2 linked regions of the Callithrix jacchus genome follow. The protein of the gene in region 1 binds, or shares a complex with, the protein of each later gene. Links are inferred from orthologs where the notes say so. Each region holds a gene or a part of one and is shown on either strand. Other genes may lie near its edges.

Region 1 (4,480 bases):
GAGTGGGGACCAGGTTCATCATGCTGGACCCATGTATGGGGGCTTATGGCTGCAGCAAAGAAGTGAGGATCCTGGAGCTGCTGGGGGAAACTGCTGTCTCCACGGCGATACCGTTTTCAGAAACCATCTTAATTTTTTTTTTTTTTTTTTTTTTTTTACCAGCTGACCACCTTTCTGCTCAGGCTAAACCTGAAACCCCATGGGCAGGGCCCTTGTCTGTCTACCCCAGTTACTGCATGGTCAGCTCTGCATTTGGGTCTGGTCCTCAGGCCCCTCCTTAGCAAGGCCTACTTTGCTCTAATTCCTTTCTTTCTTTTTTGTAGAGATGGGGTCTTGCTATGTTGCCCAGGCTGGTCTGGAACTCCTGGCCTCAACGGATTTGCTCACCTCAGCTCTTCCCAAAGTGCTGGGATTAAAGGTGTGAGCCACCACACTCAGCATACAGTTCCTACCTTGAGGTTATTTTGCCTTATTATTCTCTCAAAACCGGTCTGTTCTTTCCCTGAGAGCACTCAAGGCAATGCTGATTTATGCTTTTCTCTGATAATTTAATGTAATTTTCCCCAACTGTGAATTTTCCTGATTTAATTTCCACTGAGATAGGAGAATTAAATGTCGAGATGTGCATTTCAAAAAGACTCCCTTCTGTTGCTGTACCGGGAACAGACTAGAGGGGATAGGAGGGTGGCGGATGAGAGATGAAGCTCAGCAGGTGTCCAGGGAGTGGGGGGTGTCCTGGGCTAGGACAGAGAGAGTTGGCAGGTAGGCACATGTGGAGACTGAGCCTTTAGGATGAGGGAGAGATTAAATGGAGATGGGACTAGGGGCTACACTGTGGTCCTGAGTGAGCCACACATTTAGGCCAGGAACAGCAGCATGAAATCAACAGCAGCAATGAACATGCCTGAGGCACTCCAGATATATCTGATGCCCAATCTGCCTATTGCAGGGTTTTGCCCCATTTTTATTTTATTTTTTTATTTTTATCTAAGGGCAGGCAACTTCTTCTTTTTTTTTAGATGGGGTTTCATTAGGACCGGGTGCGGTGGCTCACGCCTGTAATCCCAGCACTTTGGGAGGCCGAGGCGGGTGGATCATGAGGTCAAGAGATCGAGACCATCCTGGTCAACATAGTGAAACCCCGTCTCTACTAAAAATACAAAAAATTAGCTGGGCATGGTGGCGCGTGCCTGTAATCCCAGCTACTCGGGAGGCTGAGGCAGGAGAATTGCCTAAACCCAGGAAGCGGAGGTTGCGATGAGCCGAGATCACGCCATTGCACTCCAGCCTGGGTAACGAGCAAAACTCCGTCTCAAAAGGAAAAAAAAAAAGATGGGGTTTCACCATGATGGCCAGGCTGGTCTTGAACTCCTGACCTCAGGTGATCCACCCACCTCGGCCTCCCAAAGTTCGAGGATTACAGTCGTGAACCACTGCGCCGGGCTTTTTTTTTATTTTTTAAATTTTTATTTTGCGCTCTGTTGACCAGGCTGGAGTGCAATGGCTCGCTCGATCTCAGCTCAGTGCAACCTCCAATTCCCAGGTTCAAGTGATTCTCCCACCTCAGACTCCCCAGCATGTGGGATTACAGGCACCCACCACCATTCCGAGCTAATTTTTTGTATTTTTTTTTATAAATGGAGTTTCACCATGTTGGTCAGGCTGGTCTCGAACTCCTGACCTCAGGTGATCCACCCACCTCAGCCTCCCAAAGTGCTGCGATTATAGGCATGAGCCCCTACACCCGGCCTCCATTTTTACTTTTGAGTTGGGGGTCTTCCTCTGTCACCCAGGATGGAGTGCTGTGGCATGATCATGGCCCACTGCAGCCCTGAACTCCTGTTCTGTCCCCATTTTATCCTGAAGTGACCAAATGGAGACAACTCAACAGTTAGCTCACCTGAGTGACGTTCACGCCCTGGTCCAATGCATACTGTATAAGCCCAGTGGCTGTATCATGGGACAGGGAGTTCAGGTTGTATTTGACCCTGTGGTGGGGGACAGAGCCCAGTTAACCTCATTCTAGGAACAAAGCCCAGCCAGCCCATGCTGGCTGCCCCTCTCCCACAGCCCCTCCCGGGGACCCCTCTCCCACAGCCCCTCCCGGGGACCCCTCACCGCCCAAGCATGCTGGTAGAGATGAGGTTTGGAGACAGCACGTCCAGCGCCCAGCCCACAAAGTTCCCGTCCTCCTGCATTTTCCCTAAAAGCCTTTCCCGCTCACTCTCCGATAGGGTCTTTGAGTCTGGGAAAGAAAAGGGGAACAAATGTTTCTCCCAGTTCCTGCCCTCCCCTCCAGTTTTCACGTTCCCCCCAGTGGGATTACACATACCCAGTAATCCCTTCCCAGACGCACACCCCGGGCTCACCTGCCACTTTCAGGGCTTCCAGATCTGCCAGGCGGGACAGGGGACAATAACAGATTGCGTAGACCATTGGGCCTGGGAAGGAAGGGTGTCAAATTTTTGGGAACCGGGGTCCAATCACTGAGCCCGTGAACGTTGCCACCCATCCCTGTTCTATCATCACTTCTTCTTTGGGAGCTATGACCACTACCACGTCCCCTCCCCAGGTGCGGTACAATCCCGACTCCCGTTTCCGGCATCCCGCTTACCACGCCCCTCCCCTCCCTGGCCCTAGGGGCGCACCCAGCACCGGGCCCCGGCCCGCCTCATCGACGCCCACAACACAAGGTTCCTTGCCGCACACCGCAGGCACAGGGGAACTCAGGCGACAGCGGCCCGTATTGTCTCTCTCTAGCTCGCTGAGATCCATGCCACCTTGGCCGCCGCCACCAGCTCCAAGAACCAAGTCCACAGGAGCCGATCTCAGCGCGCGTTTTCCGCGGGCCTTGCGGCGGCGTCTGTTTCCGACCAATCCACGCGCAGAACACGCCCCTGACGCTCCTGCCGCGGGGACGCTTACGCAGCCGACGCCGACGTCGCTGCTGCGCGCCCTCCTGGGAATTGTAGTCCTGAAGGGTTATGGCCGAGCGCTTTAAGTGTGGCGAATTCGTTGGACTGGGTCGCTTTGCAAGCTCTGCTTCACGGTCTCTGGGGCCCCGTCTGCATTAGCCAGTGGGAAGAGAGGGAAATAAAAGGGATACTGAGGCGCAGCTTGGAAGACCCAGCCTAATGAGGAACTAGAGGGTCAAGTATCACTCCACTCCCAGGACACGGGTCCCCGCATGACTGGGGATGATCCCTGAATCCCCACCTGGATTCCGCGAGTGCAGTCCCTTTTTCTGTACACATTCTAAGTCCCCTGTACCAGGTAGCCCCGCTTCCACTGGGCTCAGGCTTTAGGATTCGGAGTCCCCAAACTCCCTCCCTTTGTTGCTCCCTCAGGCCCACCCCAACTCCCTTCAACATCTGTCTCCTCTTCGTATCCTCTTATTCAGGCCAAGCCTTCCCCACCCCCAATGGAGATCCCAGACCTCAGTCGACTCCTGCTCAGGGTCTCTGCCCACCATGGAAGCTCACTCCTTCCAACTTAGGATGAATGTCCCCTACCCCACCTCTCGACCTGTCTCCGTCTCTTTTGTTTTCTGTTTTGTTTTTCTGAGACAGGATCTTCCTCTGTTGCCCAGGCTGGAGTGCTGGGGCGCGATCTTGGTTCAGTGCAACCTCCACCTCGTGGGCTGAAGCGATCCTCCCACCTCAGTCTCCCAGCTTGACTACAGGTGCACACCACACACCACCAGGCCCGACTGTTTTTTGTAGAGACAGGGTCTCAGTATGTTGCTCAGGCTGGCTTCAAACTCCTGGGCTCAAGCGATCCGGCCACCTCCGCCTCCCTAGCTATCCACGGGGCTCACAGCTCCTGACTCAGCTTCCCCCTAACCAAATCAACCTCAAGTCACTCAAGTCTTGGAGCTTCAGTTCTCCCTTCCCCAAACTCGCCTCATACCTGCCCCGCATCGCAAGGTCTCCCTCCCCAACCACCCTGGGTCCCGCGGCTTAGGTTTGCCCTGGCCCTGCCGCCCGTGGGCCCCTCTCTCACCTGGGCTCAGAGCCTCCAGTCGCAGTCGAAGGGTTTGCAGGATGGACAATCCCGTTGCCGGCAGGGCCGTATCTGGATCAGGTTCTCCTGGTTCATGAAAACCGGACCCGGCCTTGTGCTTAGCACCTCGCGGCTGCGCTCCTGCTTGCCCTGGTCGCAGAGACACCGCCAATTTCCCCACGGGCCAAGGATCGAGTCCTCGACTTCTAGAGATAGAAGGTAAAGCTAAAGATCCACGTAGAGGGGGCATACTCCCAATCCCCTCTCCCAGAGTGGGAGAAAGATAAAAGATACTAACAAATAAAAGAAGTGCATATCCAGTCGATTCTGCCTCTATGCCAGGCACTCCAACACAGATTATCTGATGTAATTTTTTTTTTTTTTTTTTTGAGACAGGGTCTTGCCCTGTCGCCCAGGCTGGAACACAGTGGTCCAGTCATAGCCCACTGCAGCCTCAACCTCCCGGGCTTAAGCTATC
Region 2 (4,544 bases), on another chromosome or scaffold:
ACTTAAGAGGAAGATTTAAGAGGACTTAAGGATTAAGAGGATTTAAGGACTTAAAAGGACTTCAGAGGAGGATAAATCACCGGCCATGTTCAGTGATTTCAGTCAGGGTTTAGGGAAGCCAGGCTTCCCTCTGGCTTGGATGTTGTCAGAAATGGGGGTATGTCTATGATGGACTATCAACGAATCTTACCCAGAAGGGGAGATTAGATGGAGGCCAATGCTGTACTTGGTAAGGAAACAACAGTCACTTTCTTGTGAGAGAAACAGGGATGTTTTGTGCCTTTTGTGGTTTGGACAGTGTTCACCTTTGTCAGCGTTCAGATGTGATGATAGAGTGGTTCTGTTTCTGTCTTTCTCCCTTGCGGACACAGAGTGACCTTGTGCAATGGTGATATTCTCTGAAATTGTTTATGTTCAACAGAATACCAAGGCCAGCTCCCAGATGTCCAGGAATGTATAAATTAAATGCAATTTAAATCTAAATTTCCAGTTTTGTGTAAGTTTATGTGAGAACTTGAAAAATACGTCTAAGTTGGGTATCTGAACAAATAAACATTAGAGAAGAGTTGAGAAACCAAAGAGAGAGGGTTTGCGAAATCTAAAAGACATGAAAAATGTTGATAAATTTGACTACAAAAAAGTAAGTCTCTGTGCTGGGCATGGTGGCTTACACCTGTAATTCCAGCATGATTTGGGAGGCCAAGGCAGGCAAATCACTTGAGTCCAGGAGATCAAGACCAGCCTGGGCAACATGGCAAAACTCCGCTTCTACCAAAAATACAAAAATTAGCTGCGAGGTGACACAGGCCTGTGGTTTCAGCTATACGGGAGGCTGAGGTGGGAGGATGAATTAAGCCTGGGAGGTCGAGGCTGCAGTGAGCCAATCAAACTCTGTCACTGTACTCCAGCCTGGGTGACAGAGTGAGACCTTGTCTAAAAAAACCAGACAAACGACAACAACAAAAATAAGTCTTTGTCCAGCAAAAATCACCCTTAGACAGACCACAGATAAAACATTTTCAATGTATTTGAGAAAACGGTTGATGTTCTTAGTAAACTAAAAAAAATACCTACCAATGTAAAGAGTACATTTCAGAATCGTTTCAGATTTTTACAATGATTACGCGTCATTAAAAACAAAAACAGAAAAATACCCAGCCAGGCGCGGTGGCTCACGCCTGTAATCCCAGCACTTTGGGAGGCGGATCACCTGAGGTCAGGAGTTCGAGACCAGCCTGGCCAACATGATGAAACCCCCGTCTCTACTAAAAATACAAAATTTAGCAGGGCCTGGTGTGGCGCGTGCCTATAATCCCAGCTACTTGGGAGGCTGAGGCATGAGAATCCCTTTAACCCAGGAGGCAGAGATTGCAGTGAGCCGAGATCGCACCACTGCACTCCAGCCTGGGAGACAAATCGAGACTGTGTCAAAAAACAAAAAACAGAGTAGAGGAAGGGGAGAGGAGAGGAAGAGAGGGGAGGGAAGGAGAAGGGAGAGGGGGAAAAGAAGAGAGAGGAAAGGAAAGGAAAAAAGAAAAGAAAAAAGGAGAAACCCTGGGACTTAGATCCAGGGAGGCAGGGCTTGCAGGGAAAGCGTCGGGGGTAGGGGGAACTACACTTCCCGTGAGGCTCCGCGGCAGCTTCCCAAGAGGCCCTGCGCGCTTTCCACGCCAGCTTCGGCCTCAGTGCGCGAGCAACGGCGTCGCCTTGGAGCGAGGATGGAGAGCGGCGACGAGGTACCAATCGAGAGGCACCGCGTCCACTTGCGCCCCGCCACGCTGCGCGACGCCGCCCCCGCCACACTGCACCTGCTGCCCTGCGAGGTCGCGATGGACGGGCCCGCCCCGGTGGGGCGCTTCTTCACGCCCGCCATCTGCCAGGGCCCTGAGGGTGAGCGCTGCGGCCGGACTACGGCTCCCGGCAGCCCCCGCACTCTTCTTCGTCTGGGCTTTTGAGGGTGGAGGTCCACCCGGAGGCGACGGGAGGGCAGCCCTGGGCTCGCCCCGCAGGGCCTAGCACGAGTCCCTGCCTGAGGCCCTGCGCCTCCTGCTCCAGGACTCGAAGTCTCGTTTCGGGGCCGCTGTCTGCGGGGCGAGGAGGTGGCGGTGCCGCCCGGCGTCGTGGGATACGTAATGGTGACGGAAGAGGAGGGATTGATGGGGAACCCGGATCCCTCGCGGGATTCTGGGACTTACGACCAAGAAGAGGAGCCGCTGGAGCGGGACTTCGTGAGCAAAAGGGATAGGGTAGGAAGCGGGTGCGGGCGGGAGCTGCATTCCCGATGCTGAGCCGGCCCTTCCCCAGGACCGCTTCATCGGAGCCACTGCCAGCTTCACCCGCTTCACCCTGTGGGGCCTGGAGACCATCCCTGGCCCGGATGCCAAAGTGCGTGGGGCCTTAACTTGGCCCAGCCTCGCGGCAGCGGTGAGTACACAAGGAGCCCCCTTTCTGGATCTTGCCCTGGGTGGAGTTTTGGAACACGGGCTGAGGAGCACAGTAGGGCAGACGGAGCCTGGAGGATTCTACTGTGTAGTGCATGGGAAGCGCGGCTCCCCGCATGTCCTGAAGGGGTTATTCTGAACAGCTGGGTGGTTCCCCGGGTGTGGGGGTCAGCCTGCCGCCCTGTCTTACAAGCCCAACAGCAGAGGCGACTCCTGTTGCAGATTCACGCACAGGTGCCCGAGGACTGAGAACCAGAGCTTGAAATTGAAAGCCACGATCCCTTCCTTCACAGCAGTAAACCAGTTCTTCATTTTGGAGCCACTGATTCCATCACCCCAATAAAGGAGCTCTTCACAGCACCTGAGTCTGCGCGCCTTAGAGGCCTTAAGCCAGCATGGGCCCCTTTCCCACAAGAACCTTGCAGGGCTCTGGCATAAAGAAACAATTTATTGCCAGGGCAATGGGAATAAGAAAGTCCAGAATCCTTTGCAGCCAGCACCCACCCCACCCCCAACTTCTACTTTACAAAAGAAATTTTTACAATACTAGCCCTCTGTACAGAGCTCCCCCACCCCCCATCTCACTGTACACAGCTGCCTGGCTCCCTCTGGTCCCTGGTTCAGAGCAGGCCTGGGCCTGTAGCCAGCTGACCTTGGAGTTGGCCTGAGCCCTGAGCTCGCCTTGGTACTGGGCACCAGTGGGCCCCTGCTAGGCCTGTCCCCTCCTCTTGGAGCTGTCCTCAGCCCCAACTCCCTTAGAGTGCTTTGTGGGAGTTGCAGTGGGGACAGGGTGGGGCGTGCTATCAGCCCCAGTCCTGCTGTTGTCTTGCCACTGCAGTGGGCAGTGCCTGGTCACCACTTCCCCCTCTTGCTCCAGTCCTTGGGAGTGAAGTGCAGACACTTGGAGTCAATGCGCAGGAGCCGCTTGAGCATGGCCCGCTCATGCCCATCCACGATGTCCTCTGATAGTGTGAGGATGTACTGGCCCTGGGCAGAGGAAATGGACCAGCAAGTGGTCAGCCCACAGGGGCCTGCACTCTGCATTCCACACACCTGTCTCCCCCTACCTTCCTCCCTACCTTGTAGTAGTTGATGAGATTGAGGTACTGCAGAGTGGAGATGACATCCTCCTTCTTGATGCTGGTGATTTCACTGATCTCACTGTGGGAGGGCAAAGGTCAGGTCCCCTGAGAACCTTCATCTGTCCCCAGGAGCCCCAGGAGAGAGTGAGAAAGCCCGGGGACAGGCCATGCCATGCACCCCCAGGTAGGTGGGGCCAGGCTCACTTGATGGTGATCTGTGGCCTCTCCCCGCTCTCCGACTTCAGCCCCATCAGGATCTCCAGGATGGTTTGGGACCAGTAACTTCGATAGGACAGGAGGCCAAGGTCTGAGAGGGGCTTCTCAGGGGTCCCTGTTTTCCCTTCCACTTTGGAGAGTTCATAGCCTAAAGCAATGGAGCAGGAGAGGGTAAGATGTCACAGATGAACATAAGCAACATTTGAAAACACAGGTCACCAAGGCAGGCTGCCTAGTTCCCATAGTGGCCCCACCACTTGGCAGTTCTGTGCCCTCAGGAAGAACTAATGGTTGTGTATTCTCTCTTCCCCAGTGTGCTGAGCACAGTGGAGGGTGTGAGGGCACTGAGAGGAACAGCTGCAACAACCACAAGGGAGACCAAAAGCTGGTGAAGGCTTACAGGCAGGGGATGCAGAGAAAATGGCTCAGGGGAAGAAAGTGCCTCCAATTTTCCTTTGCCATCCCAGGCTTGGTGTCTGGGCAGTGAGGAAGGAAGTAAGGACTGATTCCCGTCTCAGATCCAGGCCTGAGGAGGCTTGAATTCTCAGTCAAATCAGTCCTTCTACCTGGGATCTTGGAAGTGTGAGCTGCTCTAAGACCTGTGTGGCCTGACTGGGTGGTTGTGAGGATGCAAGGAGAGAAGGTGCATCAAGGTGCTTCCTAAGACGGGGAGACCATTCCTGAGAGCCAGTGTAACTGACCCTGACAGTGGCTCGCTCCCTCTGACTCGTGCAGACAGGTGAGCACTGGGAAGCAGTGAGATCCTCAGACCCTGCATAGCCCTGAGTGGCTTCACATCTCTTTG

What was found.
Region 2: the proteins of RNASEH2A (region 1) and RNASEH2C are in contact, whole or in part, in a crystal structure (PDB 3PUF), measured with the Homo sapiens proteins. The link is inferred for Callithrix jacchus from reciprocal best matches to the Homo sapiens genes RNASEH2A and RNASEH2C. Residues at the interface, in NP_006388.2 of Homo sapiens: Thr11, Asn99, Ser102, Thr103, Leu106, Gly107, Arg108, Val109, Val196, Glu197, Lys198, Leu199, Glu225, Pro226, Val227, Phe228, Gly229, Phe230, Pro231, Gln232, Phe236, Leu245, Ala249, Glu250, Asp251, Val252, Ile253, Trp254, Glu255, Asp256; in NP_115569.2 of Homo sapiens: Pro33, Cys34, Glu35, Val36, Ala37, Val38, Ala42, Pro43, Val44, Gly45, Arg46, Phe47, Phe48, Pro50, Ala51, Arg53, Ser62, Phe63, Arg64, Gly65, Arg66, Cys67, Leu68, Leu134, Glu135, Thr136, Lys143, Gly146, Ala147, Thr149.

What each region holds. Positions count from the first base shown.
Region 1 is NC_133523.1:11,630,344-11,634,823, reverse strand, and holds the start of RNASEH2A (ribonuclease H2 subunit A), read right to left. Parts: upstream 2,866-4,480; 5' UTR 2,776-2,865; coding exon 2,649-2,775; exon of another isoform or gene 2,615-2,648; intron 2,442-2,614; coding exon 2,370-2,441; intron 2,246-2,369; coding exon 2,119-2,245; intron 1,989-2,118; coding exon 1,901-1,988; intron 1-1,900. Other genes in the region: THSD8 (thrombospondin type-1 domain-containing protein 8), read right to left, coding at 4,009-4,208. UniProt on the Homo sapiens protein: Catalytic subunit of RNase HII, an endonuclease that specifically degrades the RNA of RNA:DNA hybrids. Participates in DNA replication, possibly by mediating the removal of lagging-strand Okazaki fragment RNA primers during DNA replication.
Region 2 is NC_133511.1:122,811,086-122,815,629, reverse strand, and holds the start of RNASEH2C (ribonuclease H2 subunit C), read left to right. Parts: upstream 1-1,660; 5' UTR 1,661-1,718; coding exon 1,719-1,890; intron 1,891-2,055; coding exon 2,056-2,228; intron 2,229-2,304; coding exon 2,305-2,424; intron 2,425-2,663; coding exon of another isoform or gene 2,664-2,690; exon of another isoform or gene 2,691-3,293; coding exon of another isoform or gene 3,294-3,428; exon of another isoform or gene 3,429-3,520; coding exon of another isoform or gene 3,521-3,602; exon of another isoform or gene 3,603-3,727; coding exon of another isoform or gene 3,728-3,887; exon of another isoform or gene 3,888-4,052; coding exon 4,053-4,226; 3' UTR 4,227-4,544. Other genes in the region: histone acetyltransferase KAT5, read right to left, coding at 3,294-3,428, 3,521-3,602, 3,728-3,887.